Mus musculus: one gene and its partners. The protein of the gene in region 4 interacts with the protein of the main gene of each other region in a pairwise test. Links are inferred from orthologs where the notes say so. Each region holds a gene or a part of one and is shown on either strand. Other genes may lie near its edges. The genes, in order: Tssc4, Mat2b, Ercc3 and Kpna3.

Region 1 (7,258 bases), on a different chromosome or scaffold from region 4:
AGACTTTCCATGAGACGGTATAGCTAGGCTCAAGCAGGAGGGGAGGCTGTGGGGTTCCTAGTGTGTGAGGGCATGGGTCTCCTTTCTTTCCAACACAACAGGGCCTAGGAAAGGGTCTCCTCTATGATTTGTGGGTCCTCAGGTAGGAATCTAATGGGCCTCATTTTCCCAGGGGTTTGAAGGAACAGGGCTCCTGTGCAGGGTGACAAACAGGGCAGAAGGACAACTCCCAAGTGTATTTTGGGGTGACGGTGTGCTGTGTGCCTGATCTTTCCCTTGTCTCCTGAAGCTCCAAAGCTGACAGTGTTGTTCTTGGTCCCTGCAGCTCAACTGTTGTGGCTCCAACGCACTGACCACACTGACTACCACCATACTGAGGAACAGCCTGTGTCCCTCAGGCGGCAACATACTCACCCCCTTACTGCAGGTAGCATGGAGTGGGGATGAGGTGGTGGTGGTGGTCGGTAGGGTGGTGTGGCCAATCAGGAAGATCAGCACTTTGAGCAAGACCTCAGAAGTCCCATAGACCATCTCTATTACTGGGGTACCGGGTCCTCACAGCTTGAGTTAACCCCTGCAACATCCCAGAAAACTGTTCTCTTGAGTGGTCCCTCATACCCTGGTGACCCTAGGGTGCTAGTGAGGTAAAAAAACACTCCCCTGTGACAAAAGGCTGCAGGCAGCAGGTCCGTGTGTCTTAAATTTGTTTTGGGGTGGAAGATAAGCTGTGATACATAGGTCCTGTCACTGAGTAGGGTGGTGGCTGTGACTTAGCCACTGATGGTTAACCACGCTCTTGCCATCCCTGCAGCAAGATTGTCATCAGAAAATCGATGAGCTCTTCTCTGGGAAGCTGTACCTCATTGGAATTGCAGCCATTGTGGTAGCTGTCATTATGGTAAGCACAGGGTCTCTGGTGGGTGGGTGGGATCCTTCCCAGGGCCTTAGGTGCTGACTATGCCCCTCCCTCCTGCAGATCTTTGAGATGATTCTGAGCATGGTGCTGTGCTGTGGCATCCGGAACAGCTCCGTGTACTGAGGCCCTTTGCATTGCACCAGAGGATCCCTGGAGTGACCAGAGGCCACCTTGGGGGACATGGCCTGTGTATATAATATTTCTGTATCACTCTGCTACACTTAGTCTTTTTACTTTTGAGTTTTTTGTTTTGTTTTGTTTTGTTTTTGTTTTAGTTTTTTTTTTTGTCCTGAACTTTTCCTGTTACCTTTTGGGAGCTGACATCACACATGGGTGGCATATGTGGGATGTAGGGGTGGAGCTGGCCCTGGCTTGCAGGGCCCTGTACGTCTGGGACCCCTGGAGAGTTCTGCCTGCTGAGCCAAACCTCCTCTACAGCTACTTGCCCAGAGGCTTTGTAGCCTAGCTAGAGGGCCATGCCCACCCACTCAACCCACTGTGGGTCACATTGCTCACATCTTTTTAATCTTTGTTCCTTTCCTGCCTCCATTTCAAGAGCTGGGTTTGTAAGCCCTCTTATGCCTTCAATGCACTTATTCTTTCTAACGTGTCACCTTCAACTGTAATTAAATCTTGAAACAGTCATTTAATAAAGGAGGAAAAAAATCAGGCATGCTAATGGGACTGCCAGACCTCTTCCTGTGCTAGCGGTGTCAGAGACCTGGCTCATCAGCTCTGAACTTTGCCAGGCACAGGGTGAGCAGGTCCAATAGAGGCTGTGGAACACAGTGGGTGGGGAGGGCTGGGACCCTGGGAGCACTCCATATGGGTCCTCCCTCATTTGTACCTCCTTATACTGGGAGCTCAATGCTGACTTTACGCCAGCCTTGACCTCATTTCCACTCATCTGTTGGACATGACAGGTCAGGCTGAGTCGGGTAGGAGGAGCCACCTAAGCAGGGAAATTCAGCACAGAATGATGGAGATAAGCTGCAAGAACACCCTCCTTTTCAGGGACAAGACAGTAAAGGTTAGCCCATTACCCCATCCATCTCAAGAAAAGATTCCACGGAGCTGGGTGGCTCTGGCTTGTGTCTCAATAAGTAAAAGGCAAGATGGCAGTTCACTTACCCCTGTGAACTGAGGATCAGGCTAAGCAACCTCCCGGACGCCAGGGGCAACCACCACTGTCTCTTTCCCTTTGTCTCCTGTCTGCGCCCCTCCCCCAGGCTGCTGGCATAGTTAATTGGCCACTAGAGGAGAGACGCCCTAGCCAAGATTCATGGCCCAGCTTCTAGCAGCCTCCCAGTAGGCTTATTTGTCGGTGAACCCCAAGCTTGTACTAGGACATTCTAGGTCTCCGCCACCTCTACCTCCCACGCCTATGCAACCTGTTCCGTGCTTGGTTGGTTTCTGGTCTGAGGAGCCCTTTATATCCTATGTTATGAGGTCCATGGGCACCAGGCCAAAGCTGTTGGAGGCCTGCTGCACAGCTTCAGAAACATAGGAAAGGAGAGGCGCATGCAGCAGCCCCATGGTGTCTCAGACTCTGATCCCTAAGGATACAAGAAAACAGCCCCACGCCTGGAGGAGGATTATGTGTGGCCTTGACTAGTAGGGGCGGCGTCCTGCAACTAAAGTGTCCGTTCCTGCGTCAGGAAGCACAGACAGGCAGAGCCCAGGATAGCGGCTTCGAATCTCTGAAGCCCCAACCAACCCACCCCAGGGACCACTACGTCTCTTCATGCCAAGAGCCAACCAGGACCTTGGCCCCGCCTCACTCCAGAAAGCCAACAAAGCACAAGACCCACACCACTTCCGCCCAGGGCCGGAAATGTCTAGGAAACTGGTTGGCGCTCACAGTGCGTGGTGACGCACTTCCTCCTTGTGTCGGACCCGGCCGGGACGGCTTCCGACAGGCGAAGCTGCAGGCCTCAACCCTTTGCGATTGGCAGTTAGCCCTGGAGTATTGTGGGAACCGTGGCTCCGCCTTTTCCTTTTTCGTCATTTCTGGGTGGGTTTCCGTGTGCGCTCCGGGTTGGCACGCTTGTTAAGGTTACAAGTCCCGGCTGACATTAGGCGGGAACCCATTGCCTTCTGGGAGTTGTAGTTTCTCGGGCGCTGAAGCCACGAAAATCTGATCGCCCGAGACTCGGTTTCCCAGGAACCCGAGCGAGACTGGACAGGACCGAATCCCGGGGAACTGGCGGGACGCTGCGAGAAAGGCGGCAGGGTATTGAGGCGTGTACGGACGCTGGAACGGTGAGCACTGGCCTCCCTAAGGCCGCGGCCAGGGCATTCCCGTGCCTGTTTCTGCCAGCCCTTCGTCCGGACCCGGGTGGCGCTTGTACCTAGAGAGGCTGCGCTTTACTGAGAGCCCGTGATGGGACAAGCAGCTGATGGAGATCTCCTGTCACCAGCATCTCCCAGTGCTCATCTATTGTATGTCCACACTGTTATGATCTCATGGTTGACTCTCTCCTTAACCCCACCTAACCTGCAGCTCCTGTATCTGTGCGCGCTAGGATACCCTTTAACCACCCAGCTTCGCGAGGCCTCCCGTCCGGCTGTGAGTAGAGGCACTTGACACATAGTGGAGGTGAAAGACGGGAGCCTGGGAGGACGGGGAGGGATGAGGCCTTAAATACACCCCTCACGGCGGAACTGGGACTGCTTCGCTACAGGTGGGACGGGTGTCAGGTCGTATGGCGGAGACAGAGGCTGGCCTGGAGGCTGATGAACCCACCGAGGATGACACCCTGCCTTCTGACACCGTCTCCCTCAGCGACTCGGACTCGGACCTTAGCTTACCTAGTGGTGTGGAGGTCCAAGTGTTGTCCCCAGAGAGGCTTTCGGAGGAGGGCCAGGAGGACTCCGGCCCTGAGGACCCTCCATCGCCCCCCACGGGCACCCTCACCACTGCAGTGCAGCCATTCCACCTCCGAGGCATGAGTTCTACCTTCTCCCAGCGCAGCCACAGCATCTTTGATTGTCTGGAGAGTGCAGCCCGGCAGGCACCGTGCTCTGCTCCCCAAACCAGTGTGAGTGACAATGGCAGCTTCAGGCGGCCCGTGACTCCCCCAAGTCAGACTCCAGCAAGGGGCCTGAGCAGAGTGCATGGGAACACTGGCCCGACTAGGGTACTCCCAGTCCCTGACTATGTGTCACACCCTGAGCGTTGGACCAAATACAGTCTGGAGGATGTGTCTGAAGCCAGTGAGCAGAGCAATCGTGATGCTGCCCTGGCCTTCCTGAGCTCTCGAAGCCAGGTGTCCCACACAGACTATGTGCCTTCTTTCAACCAGGACCCCTCTAGCTGTGGGGAGGGAAGAGTGGTCTTCACCAAACCAGTGAGGGACAGTGAGGCTAGGGCTGAGAGGAAGAGGGTCCTAAAGAAGGGGGTTGGGTCAGGTGCGGGGGGTGAGGCCGCTGTGGAGCTAGCCCATCTCGCTGGACCTGAGGCTGAGGAATGGAGTGGCCACCAGGGACAGCCAGAGGTGGTGGTACCTTCAGAAGCTGCCCATCCTGAGTCCTCATCAGGCCCCATAGGTGTGAAGGCTGTTGGTTTCCATGGCAGCAAGAAGCGGAGCAGAGACCACTTCCGGAACAGGGACGGTAACCCTGGGGGGCCGGGGTCTGAGAGAGGACCCTCAGTTTGACTGCAGTGCTATCACTCTACCCCTCACCTGCTAGTCCAAGTGGGAAGGTGTGGGCTGTCTGTGGTAGGGGGATGTGTGCAGCCGCTCTGGCAGAGACTGTGGGAATTGTGGGTCAGGGGACCTCGAAGGCCTTTGTGCCCCAGTGTTTAGGATGAATAATAAACGTTTGGAATATTTCTTGAATTGTGTGGCTTTTTCCGGGCCCCACTCAAAGAGTTCTGTCCAAACAGTCCTGGGCAGCCAACTACAGGACTGCATCTCTGGCAGCCTCACCTTGCCTTCCCCACTCCAGTGAGGACTGCCGTGAAGGTTTGCCATGGTCATTTACATTTGTCACTGATGAAACTACCCAGAGGGACTGGGCTCTTAGCTGTGTTCAGCCTTGTGCCCCTGATGGTAGTGAATGAGCATAATCTGCACAACCCACCCCCACCCCCACCCCCAGAAACCAATGCAGCCCCAGCACTGGGCCTGTACAGACCACAGGTTATAGGAAGAGGATGAGTTGTGAAGCAGCATATGGTTGGTGTCTGGCTGTGTCTCCAGGACTTGTGTGTGTAAGACACAGCTGATGCTGGGTCATTCCACTGAAGCTGAGCCAGAGAAGAAGAGAAGGATGCAGGGAGGATGCATGAGCGAATGTTTCCTGTGGAGGCCAGGGACTTGGACCAAGTTAGCTAGACCTGCTAAGACCCAGGTCTGCCCCAGCCTCTGTAGTCCCCATTCTCTGAGTTCCTCTAAAAAGGACCTGGATGGTCATTTAATTTGAGGAGCAGTGGAAGGAACGGAGATGCCTTTCACTAGGTCAGACAATCCTCCATATTCCCCGGGTGTTTGAAATGTCCCGTTTAGCCACCATTGTGGCCCAGTTTAGCTGATTTGAGGTGGTCTACAGGCTTTATAGAAAGTAAAGTAGCATTGGGTACCCTTGAGCAATATCTTGGGGTTTCTGCCAGAATGATCAGACAGATAATGCTGTGGGGGGTGAAAGATGGGAGGTAATTACAATAGATCTGAGTCCTGCCCTCTAGGAGCTGGTCAGCTAATGAGTGGGTCAGGGGTCAGAAAGAAACCTAGTGTTTAAGAGGTTGGCTTCTTAGGAACTCAGGGTAAGACAGGGGTTAGACCTAAATAGCCCCATCCAGGCAGATGGTGTCCTATGTAGGACTTGGCCAGATCCAGCTGTCCAGTCCAAGCCAGTGAAAGCTTTAGTGGGACATGAAAAATCTTGCCCTGCTGGAGAGGATACTTCTGAGGCTCCCGAATAGATGCCAAAGACATGAGTTTCATTCTCTTAGGAAGGGATGTCCAAGAAGTGATCTGTAGCAAGGCCTTGAAGACCATTTCTTGGGGCTGCTGGGAGTGGGGGAAGGTTGATGTGCCCCAAAAACTCGATGTGGCCAGGTCTGGGGCTCTAGAGCAAGTGGTTTCTCCATTTCAGGTGTCAGAGGGTGGCAAGCCAGACTCTAGGTACTCCCTGTCTCTAGCAGAGGCTGGCTGACTCCTGCAACCACAGTTCTGAGAGCCTGGGAGCAAGAAAGGGAGAAAGGACCCTCAGCTGGAGAGCCTCAGCTGGGGCAGGGCAGGAGTGAGGCAAGGGCCAGGACATGGAAAGTGGCAAGGCTAGCAAGGCCAGTGCTAGGCAGAGCCTTGGGACACTAAGGAACAGTGGCCTGCCGAGGGTAACCGACCTCTAGCACAGGTGGAGAAGGCAGGACCTAATACAATACACAGCCCGCAGCTTTGCTCTTGCCCTAATCTAGTGGCTGAAGGGAGGAGCCCATACCCATCTCATTCCCATGGCCTGAACCCATACTTACTTGAGTAGGTGCCTCCTGGAGCCAGTGTATCCGTCATAGAGGACAAGAGGAGCATACAGTAGTTGGCCTGGAGAGAGCCAAGGGAGGTACTGAGACTTCGGTGGGGACTGGGGGGACCGGGTTGGTTTCCTCCCATGTGATTGCCCTCCTGCCAGGGCTACTGCTGCCCTGGGACTCCACACTCTGGACCAGGTCCTCCCATAGTGCATGATAAGGGATAGTGACCGGATGTGGTGCTGAACCTAGGTTTTGTTGGACCAGCTCTAGAACAACAATGAGTCTCGAAAGTGAGTTGGGGCAGGGGCAGGCCACTCTATCCAGGCCCTAATGCTACCCACCAGGATGCTGGTACAGGGCTGTGGTAGTTCCCATGGAACCAGAAGGATGCCCCCACCCCAGGAAGAAAGATGGATAGTGAGTTGCTAGCTTGCCTGTGATTCCAGACACTTGATCCTCTTTTCTTGCTCTCTCAGCCCCCCGATGTATTTGGCAATCAAGTCCACTCTGTAGAAAGCAGGGTCAGCCTCAGTTGTGACACTTCCATGTCACTCCACAAGGGGGAGCTTTTTGTCCTAACTGCTTTCTCAGGGCCTCAGTTAACTGTTGGCCTCTTGCTTTACTGCCCTTCCAGTCTTTATCTGGGGCCTGTCTATGGATATGGAGCACTGCTGTACCCTCAAAGAGATTGAGATCCCCTCCCTGCTTGGAATAGGCCACCAAGCAATAGGATGAACACTAGGTCATCCCTATAAGCATTCAAGAACAGCCCCTCCACCATCTAGCACCAACTGGGCGTGGATCTTCAGACCTGAGAGAGGAGGAAAAGAGTCCCATTGGAGAGAGATGCCTAATTATGGACTTAT
Region 2 (7,820 bases), on a different chromosome or scaffold from region 4:
GTGTGTGTGTGTGTGTGTGTGTGTGTGTGTGTGAGAGAGAGAGGGGGGGGGAGGGAGGGAGGGAGAGGGAGAGAGGGAGAGAGGGAGAGAGAGAGAGAGAGAGAGAGAGAGAGAGAATGAATGGGTAGAAGAGATGGCAGACCTGGGTTTGATTCCCAGCATTCAAATGGCAGCTAACATCTGTCCTTAGCTCCCGTTTCAGAGGATCTGATGCCCTCTTCTGGCTTCTGTGGGTACCAGGCGTGCACATGGTTATGGTACACATACATACACTCATGTACATAAAGTAAGTTTACTTTTTTTAGATGAGTAAGAATAAAGTTTTAGTAATCAAGAAAAAGAACCTGAGATCACTAACAACTTCCCCATTTGATTTAGATTTCATATTAACAATGGAAGTTACTTTCTTTATGATGGATGAAGTGATCATATCACCCCATAATTAGTCAACAGGCGTTTCACATCTTCTAAGATATTCTGAAAATGCACAAGGCTCAGATGAGTCACATTTTGACAGGACTGAAAATCGGTCAGGGCTGGAGAAATGGCTCAGCTGCTAAGAGCACTGACTACTCTTCCAAAGGTCCTGAGTTCAATTCCCAGCAAACACATGGTGGCTCACAACCATCTGTAATGGGTTCTGACACCCTCTTCTGGTTTGTCTGAAGTCAGCTATAATTGTACTCATACATAAAATAAATAAATAAATCTTTAAAAAAAAGAAAATTGGTCGACATTTCATAGGAGTTTATTTGGAATAAAGTCAACTAATATGTCCCTCGGTCAGCACTAAATTTACTTACACAAAATACTTATGACTAACAGATACAGATAGAAAAAAAAACTGAAAAAACATTTGTGTTCACAGTAAAAATTTAAAATTACTGCTTAAAGAATATTTTGATTTTTGTATACTCAAGGCAAAGTTCCAAAAATTGAGTAACACTTTCCTGCCAAATTCTTAAGTAAAGCCAACTTTTCCTTTTTAAAAATAATGTTTTCAGCCAGCAGAGAGTCACACACCTGTAGCCAAAGCATGAGCTCTGGGGCTCAAACTTTCATTAGATTTTATCACAAGGTCCTATTTCTGTTAAAGTCACATAATTCTGAGTTGGAAAAAAAAAGTGTGCACACACACATATATACAGGCAATATCCAAAGACATTTTCGGGTAAATGATTTAGTAAACATACATACTTTAATTAAGGACCCCCAAATCAGCTGTTTCTAGCATTTAACAAAAGCTGAAATCCAAAGGGCAGGGATGGGGGAGGGCAGCATAGAAAAAAAAATCTATTAAGGATTTTAATTCAATGAATTTCAAAACATTTTTAAAAAAACATTAATGAGACTTCATGTGGTGTCCTTTATAACACTTGGCTCTAAGCCAGGCAATTTATGAAAATGAAGACTTGATCCGGCAAAATGTTTTCTTCGAACTTTGGCAAGAAAATAACTCTCCAAAGGCTTAACTCTAAACCAGGTGCAGTGATGACCTCAGTGAACAGGAGGGTGCCAGCAGCCTGAGCATAGCCTGCTCTACGGAGGGGATTCCAGGCCAGTGCGGCCCACTAGGCAAGACCCTGTCTCAAAAACTATACTTGTACACGTACACACACACACACACACACACACACCACACACACAGCTGAAATAAACGGGGTCAAAGCATGCTAAGTCTAGTATAGATTCACAACACTGTACATGTAACAAATACCATGAAGAGGTCTGGGAAAACACCATAAAGGAAAACAGATGGGGCTGGAGAGCGTGGTTTGAGTCCCAACACCTACACGGCAGGTATCAACAATATGTGTGACTCCAGTTCCTTGGGGAGCCAACATCCTCTGTGGACCTCAAAGGGTACTGCATGCATGTGGTGAACAAACATACAGGCCAAACACCCACACACATAACATTTAAAAACCTAAAAAAAAAAAAAAAAAAAAAAAAGTTGCTCTTGCAGAGGACTGGCATTGGGTCCTCAGAGTCCATCCTGGGCAGCTCACACCTCCCTGTAACTCCAGCTCTACTGGAATGGACACCTTCTATTGGCCCTAGTAGGTATCAGACACATGGTACACGGCTATACACTTAGCAATCATGCATAATTGAAAAAAAAAATCATCTGATGCAGGAGGGTCTCAATGAATTCAAGACCAGCCCTGATCTGTCTGGGAAAACAAATACAAAACAACCAGAAAGTTTCACATTCACTTTCAACACTTTCAAGTTTTCACATTCACTCTCTACCTCTCTAACATCCTTGGACACCCTTGGGATTTAAGAAACAAGATATCTAGATTGCTTAATAGGAATGGAATTCAGAGGGGAACAGCTCAACTCCCTGTACGTACACACAGGCAGTGTTCTTAACAGGAATTGGTATCAGGCTGCCTCACTAACATTAACTATGCCAAGTCTCAGCTGGCAACAAGAGTGAATGTCAGTTGCACAGGTTGAGAGAGCAACACCAGCATGCAGATTCCAGCTGTCTGCACCTTCTGCCTGTTATCTGCTTTTATGAAACAGGGTCTCACTATGTAACCTTGGCTTGCCTGATAATCATTCCTGCCTCAGCTTTTAGAGTGATGGGACTGAAGTATAAGCCGCCACGCTCAGCTACTGTACCATTTTTTTTTTTAATGAAAAAGGTTGCTGGGTGTGGTGGCATCATCAATCCCAGCCCACTGGAGGTGGAGCCACGCAGATCTCCGGGGATTTGAGGACAGCCATGAATACACAGTGAGACTGTTTAAAACAAACAAACAAATGCAACAACAGAAAGAAAAAACAAACAAACAAACAAAAAACCACCCTAAAAAGCAATCACATCTCCTCACCACTACAAACTTCCTGAGTACTGAGATTACAGACATGAGTTAGCACACTCAGTTTACCACTCTCTACTTTTCTTTTACTGAACTGGGGAAATGCATTAAGCCTACACGAATACATGCTCATACGCACACACCTTTGGTCACATGCCGTCACCAGTCTGGAACTGCAAATACATTCGAACTTTGGCTAAGGCCCAGCCATTTGGAGATAATATTGAATGTGCATCACGCAAATGTAAAAATTTCCCATTATCAACTGGTTGTGGTGGCTCAGATCTTCAATCCCAGCACTCCTCGAGGCAGAAGCATCTGAGTCCAAGGCCAGCCTGGACAACACATACTGAGTTCTAGTTTGGGTTTCTATTGCTGTGTGAAAACATCAAAGCATTGTTTGGCAGGAGGTACTTAGCTTACCATTTCCACATCACTGTTCGCCCCTGAAGGAAGTTAGGACAAGACCCTGGAGGCAGGAGCTCACACAGGCCTTGTGAAAACTGCTTAATTCCTCAGCCAGCTTTCCTAAACAACTCAGGACTATAACAGCCCAGGGGCTCCGTCCTCCCAAGTCAATCGCCAATTAAGAAAAGGCGCTACAGGTTCACCTAATAATAGCCTAATCTTATGGCGGTATACTCTTAACAAGAATCCCTCATCTCAATAGGGACTCCCTTATCTCTAGTAACTCTAGCAAGCACAGGACCCTCCCCCAAATTAAAAGTTTGCATTAAAAAAAAAAAAAAAACTGGCCACATCCTAGGCGTTTTTATATCAGCAAGACACATTAGTTCATCGACTGTGCTGGATACATTCTGTAGGTCAGTAAGTACTTAACGGGCTTGAAACACGGGACCGTGGACCAGACTTGGAAACATGCTGGGGGAAGTTTACCAGACATGCAATTTCTTTCAGCAGTCTTCCACCACGCAAAATACAGCGGTTCAGAAAACGTAGAAGCTAAAAGCCCAACACTGGAATTCCTGCTCAAACCTTCCTGAATAAACTCGAGGCGGTGCCCGTCTGCCTACCAGGGAGCCTGAGCGTTCACAGCACCGCACAGTCGGAAATCCTGACAGCCTTAAAAGTGCCTCAAGGAACCCGCCCCGTGCAAACTATGAATTCACCAAGTTGACCCCGCCGACACCGCCATTTATGGAAAGTCACTCTCCCCCTGTCCTTAAAGATCCAGGAACACAAAACAAAGATGATGACTACTGAAACGGGAGCCAGCCCGCGGGAGGCGGCGGGAGGCACCGGGAGTCTCCACCTCCGCGCTCCCCGGGCTGCAGCGGGCGTGAGCGCAGCCCTACAGGGAGAGAGGTAAACAAACTCAAAGGCGCCACCCCGGCTCCATGCCCCGAAGCTCACCTCCACCAGCTGGCAGCAGCCGGGGACGAAGTGGATGGAGAGCTCCTTCTCCCGGCCCACCATGCCCGCAGTCTTTGCGCCGCTTCAGTCGCGACCGCAAGCTCCACTAGCGCAGCACTGCCAGGGGCCGCAGCGCCCGCGCCCTTGGCCCTCCTCCCCTAGGCCCAGGCCGACCCCGGCTGCCGCTTCCGGCTTCCGCCGCCCTGGCCGCGCCTGTTGATTGGCCGCCTCTCGCCACGCGTTCAAAAAGGGGCGGAACCTCAAGGGACGCTGTCAGCCCATGTGCCAGTTCTTAAGGAGATAGAGCGTTAGAACGCAGGCACTGGTGCCAAGCGATGGATGCAGGCTTCCTTGGGTTTAAGAGTGTTGGCTTTTTTGTTTGTTTTTTTAAAATCTCTCCTACTTATTCCTTCTTAGTGAAGGGTAAGGAATCGATTCGCCTAGGTTTGCAGACTGCGAAATGCCTAGGAGTCAACCAAGCATGTATTATAGAAAATAGACTAAAACATCTGTAAAGTTAGGAGGCAAGAAGGTAAGGGTTGTCCCGTGAACACAGAGCTAAGGCTGGACTGAGTTGGTTTTAGGCAGTCCGAACCTCAGGCTGGCCTTGGGCTCAGAGAAAGACCTGCAATTTCTGATCCTCTCTAGTTTCCTTGTCCAAAGGCATCAAAGGGTTACAGGAGTGAACAACCAACCTAGGCAAGGTGCGGTTCGTCCTTTAAGGCAAGAAGAAAGAATAAAAATAGGACTGTGCTCAGAGTCATTAACATCCCTGAAAGCTATGTTTTTCTGGAATGCTAAAAAAAAAATGCTGTGAAGTTTGAAAACTGTTTATTTTTAGCTAATTAAAAATAAAAAGGTGTGGGAGAGAATGTTACTTTCTAAAAGGCAGGTTCTTCGTATTTCCCCCCCCGCAGAACCACAGGAGAAACTCAACTGTGCTAACAAGCCCAGTCAACTTTTAAGTAGATTTAACAGGCGTCCTGGCTGCCCTTTGGAGGCTTCACTTAGGGGACGACGACGCCCGGGGCTGCTGGAGCCAAGCCAAGGAGGAGCTGCTAAGACTTAAAATGAGGGAGCCAAGGAAGGGCGGAATGCCAGGCGCTCCTTCCAGCCCTGTGTGGTTGTTCAAAAGTTAATCAGAAACAACAGCTCGCAGGGTCTGACTCAGCTCTCAACTGTAACCTGCAGGTTACAAGCTCCGAAGCACAGCAACAGGCAAGCCAGTGAAATTTACCCTGAAAAAAAGCCCGGGCACACTTTTTCTCCGCCCACTCTCTACCCAACAATCTATTCCCATCCAGACACCCACGATAAGGGATTTCAAAACTCGCCCCAAAACGTGACCACTGCCTGAATTACCCCCAAAGGCCTCATTTTCAGAATCCTTTTGGTTTATTTTTAGACTAAGGATTAAGCTGCCCCTTGGGAAAAGTTTTCCTCAGTCAGGTGATAGTTTTTCTCCCACCCCCCCACCCCACCCCCCCCCACTAAAGAATTTATTCCCTCACTCTTTGGAAGAGCAAACAAAGGCAGCCTAAGGCTCCCTACTTTTCGAATTTTTTTTTTATAATCCGGGTCTTATGGTTATTAAAAGGGCTAGCTATCCCAACACTAAATTATAATAATAATTAGAAGTCCGAGGGAGGGACAAATCCAAGATCCCTCATCCTAATTAAAAGTGAGAATATTTCAAGTTTCTGGTTGATGTGTGTGTAGTTTGCTTCCTAGAGGGGATCATAAAATGTACTCAATAGGAAGACTCAAAATTTTCCACAATTAGTGTGATTCTCAGAGCAACCTTGTGAAGAGAGTGAGAAAATGTTTGCTTGCCTATATATAAGAGTACGGTTTGACACAAGTCAGGCAAAAGTTGGGTATAGCTTATTTAATAAGAAAAGGCTCTGTTTACAGCCAATGTCTGACTTCCGATGGGGGTTGGGGAGTCACGTCTCAAAGAGTGCAAACTGGAACTGAAAGTCCCATTAGCAGATTCAAGCTCCACAAGACAAAAGACAAAAGACAAAAAACCTGGGCATGCACCACGGGTTAAATCTTGCACTACACAGAGCCTTCACTACAGTTGCACTCAATGTGGAGAATGAAATTATCGTTCTGCTTCACGTCTTATTTATTAAACTGGGCTTGATTTCCTGGGTCAGAAACCCTAGATAGTTTATTCTGTGTACCAAGCTTACGTTTCTTAAGGAAATAAATGGTACCGGCTAGCATTTTATTTACACCCTTTCTGCTCGTAGCAGCGGTTTGGAATCGATTTTAGCGCATCGCCGAGCCGCCACCGAGTCTTGAATTGCTAGCTCTTACCTGTTCCATGGCCTCCGGCATTTCAGGCATGATTCCAGAACTATTTTGGGGAAACGCAGCGAGAGGGATCTGGGCGTCTGGCTCCTCTGGCCCGGTCTTTGTTCGCTCCGCCCGCACGGAGCACACGGACGCCAAAAACGTGAGGCGCAGCTCCGCTTGACCTTTTAAATTAGCATTTCCATTCCAACCCTGGAATCTCGTGCAGCTTTCCACAGTGCAGTAAGCTAGCAGCTGATTCCTCCTGCTAGTTTTGAAACTACCCAATGAGAAGTTTCATGCTTAACTGCAAGTCAAGGGAGGACCCATTACTGAAATCCATATGGCAGAACTAAAAACAAACAAGCAAGCAAACAAACAAACCCCTGCAATTCCCTGGTAGAACTTGTTGACTTTGTCTCTTGTAGAAAGACAAGAATGAGCCAACGGTTGGGAAGTACAAGCAATTGATTCCTGTTGTGAAATATTCCACACGTTTCACACATTACGGTAACGGAAACTTGAGTTAAAAACTCCCCCCCCCCATTCCTTTTTTTTAACTTAATGATTCCAAATGCCAATTTAAAAACTCTAGGGGTGGCCCAGCGTGGTGGCGCACGCCTTTAATCCCAGCACTCGGGAGGCAGAGGCAGGCAGATTTCTGAGTTCGAGGCCAGCCTGGTCTACAAAGTGAGCTCCAGGACAGCCAGGGCTATACAGAGAAACCCTGTCTTGAAAAACCAAAAAAAAAAAAAAAAAATCCAAAAAAACAAACAAACAAACAAATAAAGTACATATTTTAACAATTAGTCAAGCCGGGAGTGGTGGCGCACGCCTTTAATCCCAGCACTTGGGAGGCAGAGGCAGGCGGATTTCTGGGTTGGAGGCCAGCCTAGCCTGGTCTACAAAGTGAGTTCCAGGACAGCCAGGGCTATCCAGAAAAACCCTGTCTCAAAAAAAATAAAAATAAAAAAATAAAATAAATAAATAAATAAAATACAGACTGAAAAAATAATTTGAATACATATACCTAAAGAGAACATACTCAGAATATTTAAAGAACTGTAGGTCAGTAATTTGAATGGTAATAAGCTTTGCTTCTAGGGAAGAAAGTGCCTCTACAGCCACTTGCTCTCCTACCTTCAAGAAATGAAGCAAGCTCAGACTCACGTCTTTTGCACCTGGTTTTTAAGTGTCTTTAGGTCAAAACAGTGACTGTGTTACTGTGGCTCATTCATTCTTTTTTCGTTTGGTTGGGTTTTTTTGCTTTTTGTTTTTTTGGTTTTTTGAGACAGGGTTTCTCTATGTAGCCCT
Region 3 (7,845 bases), on a different chromosome or scaffold from region 4:
AAAGTACCTACAAGCAGGAGAGGAAGGGAGTCCCTGCTGGCCAGCACTGCATTTCTAGAACATTCTGCAATTGTAACTCAGTTGGGTGATCTGAAAATTACAGCCTCGTAATGACTCTCCCCACACCTTTGTCAAATCAGAGAGAGGAGCTATGGGCAAAGCTCTAACAGGCTGAGGGTCAGAGGAGAACGGCACCCTGAAGTTAAGTCAGCATGTCAGCAGCAGGAGTGAAAACGCCCTTCCTTGTGAACTCTCCTAAACCTGGTTGCACCCGGGAAAGGAGCAGAGTTAAACTCAAAGGTCAGAAATGCTCTCAGCTTGAGTGTGGTCGCTGCGATTCACGCTCTTCTTTAAAGCATCTGTATGTAAAAAGGAAACCCTACTGCCTGTGTGCATCATCATCACTGCCAATGTTAACTTCCAGACGCTTGACGGTCACTCCGCTGCAGGGCCTCCTTCTCCTTCCGGGGTCCCCTCAACTCCCCATCTATGTCTCAGGAACGGTGTGAGCCCGCCCTCCCTCCCGCCCTCTCTGCCCTTCCTCCCTCCCTCTCTCCCCTCCCTCCTGCCCTCCCAGCCTTCCCTCCCTCCCTCCCTCCCTCCCTCCCTCCCTCCCTCCCGGCTGGCACACAGAGGGCAGTGCTCACCTGTTGTGCTTGAGGACCAGCTTGACCTTCCCATAGCTGACAGTGCACAGCTGTAAGCAGAGGAACAGCAAGAGACAGGCTACGTCAGCGCTCAGAGCATGCTACTCCACCAGGCTCAGCACCCGGCCAAGGGACCGGTGGGTGTACTTTCGGAAAACATCAGCCACAGCCACAGCTGCCTCAAGGGGGCTTTTGTCCGTTGACCTCCATAGTTTTGGGATAAACCCATCCTTTGCCTAATTCATATGCCTAGCTTTTTATTTACAAACCACTATTTACAACCTCTGCTGTGTTTTCCGTTTTCCTTTCCCCTGCATGGCCACAGCCCCCATCCCGACCTGGAAGCCCATCCTGCTTCCCCAGAAGTCACCAGGCACAGTGAGTGCTGGCAGGACCTGCTACACACAGTAAGTTCAAATACCACAAATGTTTAGACCTTCACACCAATGTTCTCCATTTCCACAACCTAAAGAATGCCATCTTTTCTTCATTGTATTGGCAAGTGAACTCAAGACCATGAAGCTATATCCCGAACCACCACCACCTCTATTTTTAAGTTTTGAGACAAGTTAGAAATTAACCTTACAATCCTCCTCCCTAGACATCTGGCACTAAGGGGCGCGTGCCACCTTGCCAGCACAGTGTAAGCCTCTGAGGGACAGGGAATAGAGTTTAAGTCCCCAATCTGCTGGAAGGGAGCAGGTCGTTTGTGTGTTCGCCATAACTTGCTACTGAGATTGTGAGCTGCCCCTCAGAGCACAACAGCACTGCCCCAGCACGACTACCGTCCTTTAGACCATGTAGACCAAAGGCCTAGCCCTGGTGCTTTCTTCGTCAGCATCCTTCTGCATCACAGAACAGAGAACTCTGTCGTGCTCCCAGGCTTCTGCTCATGGCACACTCTTCTGCTTCCAGACTGAAATCTAATTTGAAGTCCTTTCAGATTAGCCAATACTAACAAAAACTGTTCTCCTATCTTCTGTGAATAATATACACCTATATTCAACTGCTGTTCCCATGAAACCCTCTTCAGGTCAACATTTCAAGTTTTGTCTTACCCTAATACACTTAATTTACCATGGATCTTAAGTATTTACCTTACATGGAGCTCACTTCCTGTAACAGCTAACCACCAAAAAAACTCCACAACAAAAGCTTATGTTCTCAGAGTTCTAACTACTCAGGATCAATGGACCAGGACCAGCTAATTCAGGCTGTGGTAAGGTCTCCTGGCTAGAAGAGAGTCACCTTCTCTCTACACAGTCCCATAAAGAAGGGACTTATGACAACTGTATAATTCCTAATAAAGACAAGCACCTTCTGAATGGGGAGACATTTATGACCTCATTTAGTCTTACTAACACACAGGTATTTGGGGTTAGGATTCTGATATGTACATGCAGGCTATAGTTCCATCTATCCAGAGCTGGATTCTCAAGTAACCCTGGCCATAGTGGACCTGAACTTCTACTCCCATGGCTTGGAGCAGCCCACAAAACACATGATCTCAGCCAGAACCATGGCTGGATCTAAAGTGGCAGCAGCTAGGCACGAAGCTATTTTGCTATCAAAGGAAACACAAATCAGACATTTCAATGACAACATATAGTAAGTACGCACCTGAGCACAAGAGTTGCTAGTAACTCACCTTAATAAACTGGATAATTCCATCAGGAACTCCAGTCTTACTGAGCTTTCTGAGGTACTCAGTAATGTCACTGGTTTGCAGCCCAACACTGACCGCTGCATAGAGGGAGTAGGCGGTTAGCTTGTATTCATGTACATGAGTAGGCCGGCACACCGGCTCTGCAATTGCCACCAGGAAGTCTTGGGCATATTTGTAAACTGGAGAGAAGGCTTCCAAGAAAATGTGGCCATCAGGAGCCTAAAAGGCATCAAGGGAACACAACAGGCAAGAATATCAATGAGCTGCAGAGACTATGTCACAGGATTTCTGATCACACTGCGAACCTGAGACTGTGTTATTTACTAAAAAAAAAAAAAGGAAAGGAAAGGAAAGGAAAGGAAAGGAAAGGAAAGGAAAGAAAAGAAAAGAAAAGAAAAGAAAAGAAAAGAAAAGAAAAGAAAAGAAAAAACCTTCTCCTAGTTGTATGGCTCAGCCTTCAGCACACACCTTTAATCCCTCTGGCCAGAATACAGGCATGCCTTTAGTTCACACCTTTAATCCCAAACAATAGAGGTAAAGTTAGTTTGCAGAAGGAAGTACCCATGTTTGAAAGTGATGTTTAACTGAGTGGCAGAAAAAGTGACAAATCAGAGAGACTTGATAGGAAAGGATACGCCCAACTCTCAAAGGTGAGAGAGGAAAGGGAAGCTACTTAAGGGAGAGACAGGCAGTACAGGAGGAGAGAGTCCAGTACAGCATACAGCGGAGTTCATGGAGAGCAGTACAGTAGAGTTGAGAGTGGAGCAGCACAAAGAGGGAGAAGGAGGCAGTTTTACTGGGACAGTTATAGAGAGAGTGCAAGCTAGATACAGTGAGAACAGAACAAGTCAGAGAATGAGAAGGAGCCAGAAGATTAGAAGAGATTCCTAAAGTTAATATGAAGCCAAGCAGTGCAATTCAGGAAAAGCCAAGAGAGAAGCCAGATTGAAGCAGTCAGCTTGAAGAGGAGTCTGAGCCAGAGCAGCTGAGTTAAACTGGCCAGTCAGAGCTCACAAAGAACTAGAAAGGGCGAGCTTATTCAGCTTCAAGTCTCAGAGGAGGGAAAACATTCCAGGCCTAGGTTAGATTACACAGAGACTAGAAGCTTCCAGGACTAGGCCTAGGTTAGCAGACAGGCGCAGTAAGCCTCCAGACAACAATTATGTCAGGTGAATAAGGTGACTCTTACACCACTAGACTGTCACATCACTATCAAGAAGGGTGAGTGTCCAATGGGAAGGATATTCTTGCAATCAATCCTTCAGGAAACTGCAGGGACCCTGCTCCTATAATTAGAGAAGAGTAGGCAGAAAAGGTTCCCAATGTTCCATATATGGAAATCTTCCAACATACTATTCTCAAAAGGCCTTTTGGCTAGAATGCAAATTGAGTACAGATCATGATGTATTTTAAGCCAAGGAAACTTAGCTACCAAAACATTATCTACCATCAATTTGAAAAGAACCTAAGAGATGGATCAGTGGTTAAGAGCACTGGCTGCTCCTGCAGAACACACAGGTTCCATTTCCAGCACCCACATCAGACAGCTCATAACAGCCTGTCATTCCAGGCTTGGGGGATCTTACGCCCTCTTCGGGCCTCCTCTGGAAACAAGTATACACACACACATACATATAAAATGTTAAAAATCTTTTTTAAGAAGTGTAAATCAATTGTCATCTAAAACAACTATTTAGTGGCTGGGGAGCTACCTTGGTGTATAAAGTGCTCGCTCGCATGAGGACCTCAGTTGCGATCTCCAGCACTTAAGTATAAAACCAGGAATGCATGCCTACAACCACAGAGCTGTGATGGCTGGAGATAGGTGGGTGGGCGGGCAGGCAGATTAAGTTGGGGTGGGAGGTGGGGGGCATCGCTGGCCAGTAAGTTTAGCCAAAACAGGGAGCTGGGCAGATATGTGAAGAGTGACTGGGAAAAGCATCTCACATCAGTCTCTGGGCTCTGTAAACAATCCCTGCACGTCTCTCTGCACAGGGTATGCACATATACCACCCAAACAGATAAATGTCATTTACTGACTGTATGTGGGGTATGTGCGTGTATGTGAGTGCATGCATGTCACCGCTCTAAAGTGACTTGCCAGAGTCGGGCCTCTCCTCCTCCTATGACAGCAAGAGCCTTTACCTCCTGAGTTATCTGGCTTGTCATCATATGGGGGGCTGGGGTGAAGTGGAGAACACCAGATCACACCAGCTACTCCAGTGTGCCCCATGACAGCCGTCTCTCCCGGCTGCTTCAGAAAGAGCAGCATTTCTCACGTTTGAATTTTGGAGGTGTAAGAATGTCCAAGATTTAGCTGCCGCGCAGGCTTTTTGGCCATGCTTACCACCCAGAGGGGCCTGGAGGTATGGTCACCCTTTAGTGGCATCTGCTGTCTGTAGTCCTTTGCTCCATACTCATCCACTTTGGTGCTGGACTCGTCCACCTGTTTCCCAGCGGCGGAGGGCACCGCCTCCTGAGACTCGTTCCCAGGAATGTCGTCTTCGTCTTCCTCTTCCTCTTCATACTGCCTCTTCTTGGATTTCTTTTTGTCTGCGACCGAAGACACAGAAGTGAGCCCAGCAGGATTCTAGGGTTCCTTTTTCACCACCCAAGGAGACTTCTGGCAAGAACTCCTAAACCAGCGCCACCCGCATACCGGCGTCCGGCAAACGCCTCCCACCCGGCTAAGTTCCGCATCTCCCGGACACAACAGGCCAGAGAAAACCCCACGACAATGACAGTTACAAGTAGTGCTTACCGCGGTCCACTCGATCTCTTTTGCCCATAACAGCTCTAGATGCAGGCAGGCCGGCACACCGCACCACCTCCTCTCCGCAGGAGTTACTTGCTAATGAACTTCCGGTACATACCGGAAATACAGCACCAGACGGTCGGAAGTCCCGCCTCTGAAGTCTTAAACCGGAAGAGCGGAACCACAGGGCCGACCGGAGGCGAGCTGCGCTTGCCTGGAGTGTTTACTTTCCGCTCTACGATTTGTTTTGAGCCTTACGTACTTCTAGGAGCCTTGAGCTTATTTGCCCTATAGATCGGGCGGGACGGAGATCTGCTTCCACCTACGGAGTGCTTTGTTTTGGTTTTTGAGGCCACTGCTTAGATCGCTAAGGAAGGTCGGACCTGGGTGGTTCCCTCAGGCTCCCGGGAGCTGGGATTACAGGCGTGTTCCACCACGCCGGGTTTCTGGAAACGAAATTCCGAACGAGAGAGGTGGGAAATACACATCGTTCTGACGTAAATAAAAATGGGCAGGTGGCTCATTTGGTAGAATTTTTGCCTATGTCGGAACCAAAGAATAATCTTGGTGTCTCACCAAGGATAGCATGAAGAGTACCTCAGCAAGGCAATTCTTTTTGGAAGAGAGTGTAGCAGAACCCAAAGGGACTAACACTACATCAGAACAGGCAGTTGATGTAGTTTTTAATTTGTTAGTGACTTTTCCCCATTGGCTAGGGTCAAACCTCACAGCCTTCCAGATCTTTGGTTTGTTGTGGGTGTTTTGTTTGTTTGTGTTTTCTTTTCTGAGACAGGGTTTCTCTGTATAGTCCCGGCTGTTCTGTATCTCGTTCTGTAGATCAGGCTGACCTCGAACTTGAGATCTGCCTGCCTCTGCCTCTCGAGGGCTGGGGTAAAAGGCGTGCACCACCACGCCCCTCCCTGCTGTTGTCCAATTTTAAAAGAAGGCAAAGGAAAGAGAGTCCACTGCTTTGAGCCTTCAAATTCTGGACAGCTGGCTGCGGGGGTGTGTGTGTACATGTGCAAAACAATTTTTCCCCTCATATCTAGCAGGTTCTAGCCACAGAACTACATAAACCAAGTGTGGTAGATCATGTCTAATTGCATCACCTGAAATCAAGAAATAATGTTACACGTTTTCAAAAAAAAAAAACCAAAACCAAAAACAGTAGTAGAGTGATCTTGGAATAGGTCTAAGTAAAAGAAATGAAGATAGTTTCATTCTGTGTTTATTTTAATGAGAAATGGATAGGATTTGCCAACTGGGATAATACGGGATTTGGGGAGGAAGAAAGAGTTAACACCCAAGATTTTTGGTTTCAGCAACTCATAAAATGATGTACCTTAGGCAGAGTTCATATTTGGAGCAAATCAGATGTAACTGGCAGTTACAAAGCCTGCTTGCTGTTCTATAATAAAATGTCCCAGGTGGCATGATTTAAACAGCAAAACTTAGATAAGAAATTAGAAGGGTAAGAGAAAGGGACCAGAAAAGAGGCAGAAGGGAAGACAATAACAAGTATGCCATATGTATGAAAATGTTATGACGACACCCTTTCCGCTAACAAAAAAAAGCAGATGAGCAATATGAAATTGGATTTTTTTTAAGAGCTGGGAAGATAACTTAGTGGGTTAATGTACTTGCTGCACAAACATGAAGACTTAATTTTGGGTCCCTAGAGCCCACACAAGCCAAGCAGGCATGGCATTACACAGCTGTGATCCCAGCACTGAGGGGCAGAGAAGAATCCTTGAGGCTCACTGACCAGCCAGTCTAAGCCATGAGCTTTAGACTTAAGAAATCCTGTTGCAAAACTAGTAAGGAGAAGTGGAGCTGGGGATATGGCTCAGTGAGAAAGAACTAAGAGTTTAAAGCCAGGGCTGGGCTGGGCTGGGGCCAGAGCGATAGCTCAGTACCTAAGAGCACCCGTTGCTCTTCAAGAAGTGGCTGCTTGGCTTCCCAGCTCCCACAAACAAATTCAGTTCTATGGGATCCAACGATTTCTTCTGACCTTTACAGGCATCAGTCACACATGGGGGACATGCATTCAGCAAAGCACTCAACTCACATAAGTAAGTCTTGACAAGAATTAAAAAACAAAAACCGCAAGGTCCCTGGAGCAAGCCAAATCACTGGGCTCTGGATTCAAGTGAGAAATCCTGCCTCAATATAGTTGGAGAACAAATGAAAAAGGCACGTGGACACACACCAAAATAAATGAGGAAAACGATAAGACAACCGACATCACCCTCTTATATCAGTGGGTGTACATATGCATGAAGCAAGCAAGCATGGAGGAGTGAAAGTCAGCTGTCTGGATTTGTGAACTCACTTTCCTTTGTTTATATTGCTACTGAGTCTGTATTGAAAAGGGATCTAGTGTCTATGAGTGGCCCCTTCTTTGTACCTCCACTTTGCACTTGAGGAACCTCTTCTGGCAACACCCAGCTTTGGGTTGTATGGGCTAGGCAGGTTCTCACACTCTGGAGACTTCCCAGATCATACCTCCTAGCCTAGATGGTTTAGCTGGGGGCAGGTGTTACCTTACGTTCATTGGGAGTATGGAAGAGTACATCACTGAGGTCAATCCAGATGGAGAACCTGTCTCCATACTTTCAAAGCCTCTATAGTAGTATTAATCATGCTGCTGGAGGTTTGCACACGTAGCTATCAAATTCATCCCGGAAACTTCAGAGGTCTTGGCCTCTAGCACACAGAACCATAGGTAGCTTTCAGAATTTGATTCTACAAACTGGCTTCAGGGTCAGTTATCAAAA
Region 4 (7,164 bases):
GTCCGTATGGTAGATGAGCACACACAAAGCTGGCAAAATCTGAGGAAAGAAGATGAACACTAGAGTTGATGACATGTCATTGTAAACACAAACTATGACACAGAAAGAATTACTTAAAACACAAGGTGGTGGCGCACGCCTTTAATCCCAGCACTCGGGAGGCAGAGGCAGGCGGATTTCTGAGTTCGAGGCCAGCCTGGTCTACAAAGTGAGTTCCAGGACAGCCAGGACTACACAGAGAAACCCTGTCTCGAAAAACAAAACAAAACAAAACAAAACAAAACAAAACAAAAAACCCACAATGTGAACATGTCTGAATACTTTTAAGAAGCATAAAAATTAATAAACTCAATCTGAAAAACCAAAAAGCATATTTCAAATGTCTAATTAAAAGAGCTAAATAAATCTGACAGGGACTAATACTCCTTAAGAGAAATTAAATTACTTCCAGAAACATCCTTTATGACATAATGTCGGGTAAGGAGAATGGAGATGCCAGCGACAAGCACACATTTTGGATAGTTCAGAGAAATTACTATTCAGAGTTATCATCATCTAAATTTGTATTCAATAAGCTGCTTGAGTGAAATAGCTTTAGTCAAGAAAATTACAACCAGTACAAGGTAACAGGCTTGTTGACCCTCAGACCTAACAGACCTTCCACAAATATACAGCAAATGAGAAATGCCTCCTAGGGACTCATATGATCAGTATGGTAACAAAAGGTGCAAACACTGGATCAGGACACAGATTTACTCACTCTAGATACAAATAAAGAAAGGGTTTACAGGATTTTTAAAAATTTAACATATACCACATTTCCAAGAACACCAATTTTGTCAGAAATCAATGGGCTGAATGCAGTCACTCAAATTATTTGCATATTTCTTAGCAAAAGAAATCTATAAGGCAGTATCACAAAACTGGCTTCTTCCCTTTTATGGAATTTTTTCTCTTCATGAAACATCATTAAAAATAAGCATTAGAATGGACAGACATTCCTTTTATTACTGAACAACACTCAACTTTGACATATGGTGTGTTATACTTCAAAACAGAAGTACCTTCATAAACAAAATCAGAATATGTTCATTATATTCCCTGTACAAGAATACTTAAAGCAGCTGGGCAGTGGTGGTGCACGCCTTTAGTCCCAGTACTTGGGAGGCAGAGGCAGGCGGATTTCTGAGTTCGAGGCCAGCCTGGTCTACAGATTGAGTTTCAGGACAGCCAGGGCTACACAGAGAAACCTTGTCTCGAACCCACCCCACCCCGTATCCCCCCAAAAAGAATACCTAAAGCATAAACAGGGAAACAAACCATCTCGCCTTACAATTCTGCATTTACCTCCTGAACTGTCTCCATAGGCGGTGGGGGGTCTTTATTCCTGCAGAGATTGACAATGACCCATGTGACGTTCCGAAGGAAGGTGATGGGAATGGAGGGATTGATGAAGGACAGAAGAGGTTTGACAACTCCCAGTGATATGACATAATCTCTACATTGAGGACCATCACCTACAGAAATGAAAATTGTATTTAAAAAAAAATCACAGTCAGGATGAGAAAGTCTGAAATGTGTGCAATGGCTCATGTTGGGACACTGATGCCCTATGTTTCCTCACCAGGCAAACATCAAGCGTTGCCACCCATGATTTTGATTTGGGGAACACAAATTTAACCACTATTGACACAAATGATATATCCTTTTGTGCCTTTTACACTTAAGTGCTATCTTAGAAGTTTATGAACACAGTCAACTCATATAAAATGCAGAGGAAACATAGTGTGTAATGGCTATGCCAATGTGGGAAAAAAGTTAAGATTGTCAACTAAAGCCTTTCAAACCTAAATTCAACTTACCTATAATGTTTCCCAAAGCCCACACCGCTTGTTCACAAACATTCTGATGTGGGGAATGGAGGAGTCGCAGAAAAAGTGGTACTGCATCTGTGTGTATGTAAGGAAGACTAGGTTATCTAATGTATCTACAAATTCCAACTCAAGTAAACTAATAAAATACTCAAGAGTCAGATACACACTACAATTGCCCAATTACAGTTCCCTGCACAAATTTGGCATGGATATGTAAAAAATAAGTAGTATCAGTACTTTTAACTTGGTAATACTTGAGCAATATAGCATCAAACAGAACCTAAGCATGCTACTATGCCATTAACATAAGAAAAAAAAAACATAAAATCTTCCCTATAATTGATTTTTAAGAAGTTCTTATCCCAAACATGTATTCTTAAAGAATAATACTTACTTTCAATGTAATTCTAATGCCTAAGACAGGGTTAACCAGAACCAATTAAATCAGATTACCAAACAATTCAAAGCAATTGTATTTAGTATTCTATCTTTATTTTTTTATATGTATGGGTGTTTTGCCTACATGTGTATGTCTGTGCACCACAAGTGCCTGTGGAGGCCAGAAGAGGGTGTCTAGTTTCCTAAAACTACAGTTAGAGATGGCCTCGAGCTACATGTGTATACTGGGAATGGAACTGGTGTCTCCCGGAAAAGCAGCCTTAACTGTGGAGCCATCTCTCTAGCCTCTAACTTTGTTACACTGTTATACCTTATACCCCCCTTCAGCATAAGTTCACTTTTTCTTAAGCTTCTACTCTGTGTTAGCTCTTGATTATTTAGCTTTACCTGTATACTAGATACTTAACTTCGTCTTTTTATTACAAGTAATTCATACTTTACCAGAATGTATCACTGTAAGTCTCGACAGTCACTGTTAACACTCCAGCTTTCCATGGTCATCAACTGCAAAGAGCTCCCCTATCTCTAGTAATCAGCATCCATTTACTCTTCTGTTATTCAGTTCCCCAAACCCAGGCTATCATTAAAAAGCTTGCCTTTCCTATGCATGGACTTGTCTAGTCTGGACATTTCAGCGAAATGAAATCCTACTGCATGTGATTTTTTTTTTTTAAATATCTGTCTTCCTTCACTTTCGTAACTTTCAAGTTCATCTATTTCACAGGTATTATTGCTTTATTCTTCTAGATTGTTAAATAATAATTCAGTTCCATACATTTACTGACCCATTAATAGTGAACTTCTGAGAAACTGACTGAATGCTCTATGAACATCTTACACACGCTTTCTCTCCCACTTCATCTAGGAGCAGAACTGGAGACACAGGGTCCACTCCAGCAAAACTTTTTAAAAAACTAATTTTCAAGGCATTATTTTCATCACTGATAAATTCAGTTTAAAATGGAAACAATGAAAATAAAGTGATATATATATAGTTAACTTTACCTCCTAATTTCTATTAAAAACATGCTCACACCGGGCGTGGTGGCGCACCCCTTTAATCCCAGCACTTGGGAGGCAGAGGCAGGTGGATTTCTGAGTTCGAGGCCAGCCTGGTCTACAGAGTGAGTTCCAAGACAGCAAGGGCTACACAGAGAAACCCTGTCTCGAAAAACAAAACAAAACAAAACAAAACAAAACAAAACAAAACAAAAAAAATGTTCATTACTACAACACCAAGTTGGAAAAGTTTTTAAGAGCTGTAATAACTTCAGCCACAAAATTATAATAACTTACTTGAAATAAGCAAGATGCGGGGCACACACCTTTAATCCCAGCACTTAGAAGGCAGAGGCAGGCTGATCTCTGTGCGTTTAAGGCCAGACTGGTTTATATAACAAGTTTCAGATCAGCCAAGGCTTAAAAGTAAGGACTGAGGCAGGTGTAAATCACACCTGTATGGCCAGCACTCAGGATGCTGAAGCAGGAATACCCTGAGTTTATGGTCAGGTTGCAACTACACAGAAAGCTAGCTCTAAGACCAGATCTGGTTACACAGCAAGACCTTCCCCCACCCCACCCCACCCCCACCACCAAGCCCTACTGCAAAACAACTATATGTTGTAACATGAAAGGCCTAGCCTACTCAGCATACTTAAAAAGTGTTAAAAACAAGGTATTTCAAGTCCTATTACTAGGATATAGTCTCTACCCAGAAACATAAAAAGTCTATTCTCTTTTTTGTTCCAAAATTACAATTATTTTGTAACAGTTTAATAATATGGAAAAGATTTTAAAAAATCATTAAAGTAACACAAAAATTTATACTCACTTCAAAATATTCTAAGGTAAAATTCAGTTTTTGGTATAAAAGCTATTTCAATCATTTTTAAGAAAAAGACTTGACTTACTAGACTGTACAACAGCTTGAGTCTGTGCAGAAGTTCCCGATGCTATATTAGTTAGTGCCCAAGCAGCTTCAAACTGTAATGAAGGACTGTTAAAGAAAGAAAAAAGAAGAAAAAAGAAAATCTTTTCAGACATGAAACCACCACTGTACTTCCTTTCTTGGTCCTTGGATTTCACTTTGCTATCTATACCCACCACCAGCTGCACGCATCTACCCCATCTGACTGCTCCTCAAAGCCAGTCACTACAACTGCCTTCTTTACATCCACTGAGAGGTGCAGCAATAAGACAAACACACCTCTGGACTTGTCATTGCCCATAGACCTCTACTGAACAAATGATGGCTTATGTTCTGAATATTCCTTCCACTTCCACCGTAACCCACTATAACTGTATCGCCAAAGCCCTTACAATCTCACTTTAATCCCAGCTACAGACTCCAGACTAGTCTTAAAACTGGGACCCACCAGAGTTCACTACACCATCTGGGCTATATATTACAGGCCTGCATAATTCCTCAGATAAAGCATTATAATTTGAGTCAGTCATGGAAGATCTAACACAAAAAAGTAAAAAGCAAATTTAATTTGCTTTCCTAAATTGGATTTTAAAAGGCAGGCCCTGGCAATCTACATTAAATCTATCAGAGGTGGAATGATGTATGTACAGTAAGACACAGAATAAGAAAGTTAAGGGTGGACAGAATGAAACTGTGCACGTAAGTGCTGGAGGGCAGATGCACAGTCTATCTCAAACTCTAAGCTGCAGACCTTAGAATTTATTCTATTGAGAAGGGGAGTAAAGCCAGGTGTAATAACATACTTTTAACCCCAGCATTTGGCAGGTGGATCTTTATGAGGTGGAGGCTAGCTTAGTCTACAATAGTGAATTCTAGGTCAGCCAGGGATATACAGTAAGAACCCTGTCTCCAGAAAAGAGGGGGTGGGAGGTGGGGTAGAACAAAAGAGAAAAATAGACAAACAGAAAAAAGGAAAAATAATGGAAAAAAAAGGGGGTAAAATTCTTTGATACAAAGAAAGCAAAGGATGGCCTGAACAACAGAGCAAATTCAGAGTGGTCCACCCAGGTCAATGAGTAGGCCCACATCGCAAAAGCAAAAGCAATGGCAGGAGATAGAGTCCAGTGTGGACTACCTGCCCATCCTGTATGAGGACCCAGTAGTGGGGTGGGAAGGTAGGGTTTGCAGTCAAGAGTCAGTGGCATGTAAAATGGATAAAAGGGTTGTTACAGACTGGTATAGGAGAGACCTATTAAAGAGAAATAACACAGAGAGATGGAAGAATATAATAACAGAAAGAGCAATGGAGGAGGGAGGCAGACAGCCAGCAAAAAAACTAAAGTGAGCTGAAAACCAGGGAATAAGAAAAATCTGTCTATATAAACATTGAAGAAAGTAAGGGAAACAAATGATCAGCTATAGCAGCAGTGTAGATGGGAAGTGCACATTCCACATCAGAAAGAGTAAACAGAAAATGGAATAGACAAGAGCTGTCACCATCAATTCTGACAGAAGGCAGGGAATGGAAGATATGAAAGGCAGACTGGTGGCTAGGGACATTAAAAGGATGGTGAGATAGGAAGTGACAGATGATATGTACCACCACAAACTGGAAGTCGGAAGTGTAAATAAGCAGTTAAGGAGTGTTTACAGAATACTGGAAATGGGGGCCATGGACAGGAAAATGGGAAGATACGAAAAATAAAATTGCAGGACCAAGGTAAGTCTTTCAAAAGTCATGTGAAAAAAGAACAAGTAAGATATAAAAACAGCTGAAGAAGCAAATAAACACAGAATATTTTGTACAAACAATGTACATTTCCTCACAACCACCTAATTTTTACAGATGAATGTCTGAGGCTCAAACAACAGTTGTGTTCTGGTCAATACCAAGTCTAGATTAGACCAGGGTCTATACAGCTCTAAGTCTAACGTGATCTGTTACACAGTTAACATAGCTTTCCAAGAGAAATCACGAAGCTGTTACCTAAAGTACTGGCAATTTTCTATTCATACCACACCTTGGGTGATGGTTTTAAAATTATTAAGTTGTTTATATTTTGACCTATTTTTTGTTTTGCAGACAAATCTACACAAATAAATCTATGTCAAAGATGGGAACAAACAGACAGGAGTGGGAGGAACAGAACTGGAAACAAAAAACAAAAGAGTCCTAGTGGTAGATATAAGATGGAATTAATCTTTTAAATAGCTGGAATAAAATTTATCTTTTCCCTGATATGGAAACTATATAGCAGGTTTTAAAATATTAAATACATTTTAATGAAAATATCTCTTGATGCCAAAGACACTAAGATTTTCCAGTCCTCACAGCAAAGTTAATATATCCTAAAATCACTTAAGACTATGTATTTAGCCTACTAACTATGTACTCAACCTATTTAAATTTAACTTACCTTTAAGAAAACAACATAACCAACCTTATCATGTCTTTGGTTTTCCATGCAATCAGCTTTTACAACCTAAACTAAAAAACTAAAGCATAGCTTTAATTTTGGATTATATACTCTTCCATACCCTTTCCATTCTCTCTCTCCTCTCTCTGTCTCAGGTGGGTGAAGTAAAGGGACTTCTTCTTTTGCAGGAAGATTTCTGTAGACAATTCCTCATCCCCTTCCCAATGCCTGTATTCTGTGCTATTCAATCAATACAGAGCAAAGCCCTTTGTTAGGGACAGACTCAAGGACATGGACAGATCCAGACATTCAGACACATGTAGACCAGACAGGCAGCAGGGACAAATCAGACACACACAACAGGCAGACTACAGATAAGCCAGACCACGGTGTACAGATGGAAGACAGAGAGAGACTAATAGAGAGCTCAAGATTGGGCTCACTCTTGGTCCAACTAACCTAAAGGAAGTGTCTCTGCTTTCATCCCATAAAGCTGAGGTTATCTTGAATGCACTAACAGACATAGTTAAGGCCTAGAGACAGAGGG

Evidence for each region.
Region 1: the proteins of Kpna3 (region 4) and Tssc4 interact in binary tests that used the Homo sapiens proteins (3 or more experiments, as listed by UniProt). The two-hybrid records come from large-scale screens. The link is inferred for Mus musculus from reciprocal best matches to the Homo sapiens genes KPNA3 and TSSC4.
Region 2: the proteins of Kpna3 (region 4) and Mat2b interact in binary tests that used the Homo sapiens proteins (3 or more experiments, as listed by UniProt). The two-hybrid records come from large-scale screens. The link is inferred for Mus musculus from reciprocal best matches to the Homo sapiens genes KPNA3 and MAT2B.
Region 3: the proteins of Kpna3 (region 4) and Ercc3 interact in binary tests that used the Homo sapiens proteins (3 or more experiments, as listed by UniProt). The link is inferred for Mus musculus from reciprocal best matches to the Homo sapiens genes KPNA3 and ERCC3.

The regions. Positions count from the first base shown.
Region 1 is NC_000073.6:143,066,336-143,073,593, forward strand, and holds Tssc4 (protein TSSC4), read left to right. Parts: upstream 1-3,032; 5' UTR 3,033-3,178; exon of another isoform or gene 3,179-3,299; coding exon of another isoform or gene 3,300-3,485; 5' UTR 3,486-3,515; intron 3,516-3,600; coding exon of another isoform or gene 3,601-3,621; coding exon 3,622-4,575; 3' UTR 4,576-4,752; downstream 4,753-7,258. Other genes in the region: CD81 antigen, read left to right, coding at 1-17, 326-427, 812-898, 977-1,039; Trpm5 (transient receptor potential cation channel subfamily M member 5), read right to left, coding at 6,013-6,101, 6,396-6,462, 6,827-6,899. UniProt on the Homo sapiens protein: Protein associated with the U5 snRNP, during its maturation and its post-splicing recycling and which is required for spliceosomal tri-snRNP complex assembly in the nucleus.
Region 2 is NC_000077.6:40,688,273-40,696,092, forward strand, and holds the start of Mat2b (methionine adenosyltransferase 2 subunit beta), read right to left. Parts: upstream 4,411-7,820; 5' UTR 4,269-4,410; coding exon 4,206-4,268; intron 1-4,205.
Region 3 is NC_000084.6:32,237,651-32,245,495, reverse strand, and holds the start of Ercc3 (general transcription and DNA repair factor IIH helicase subunit XPB), read right to left. Parts: upstream 5,170-7,845; 5' UTR 5,103-5,169; coding exon 5,075-5,102; intron 4,867-5,074; coding exon 4,661-4,866; intron 2,533-4,660; coding exon 2,296-2,532; intron 698-2,295; coding exon 648-697; intron 8-647; coding exon 1-7. UniProt on the Homo sapiens protein: ATP-dependent 3'-5' DNA helicase/translocase. Binds dsDNA rather than ssDNA, unzipping it in a translocase rather than classical helicase activity. Component of the general transcription and DNA repair factor IIH (TFIIH) core complex.
Region 4 is NC_000080.6:61,383,241-61,390,404, forward strand, and holds part of Kpna3 (importin subunit alpha-4), read right to left. Parts: intron 4,270-7,164; coding exon 4,184-4,269; intron 1,950-4,183; coding exon 1,863-1,949; intron 1,518-1,862; coding exon 1,348-1,517; intron 40-1,347; coding exon 1-39. UniProt on the Homo sapiens protein: Functions in nuclear protein import as an adapter protein for nuclear receptor KPNB1. Binds specifically and directly to substrates containing either a simple or bipartite NLS motif.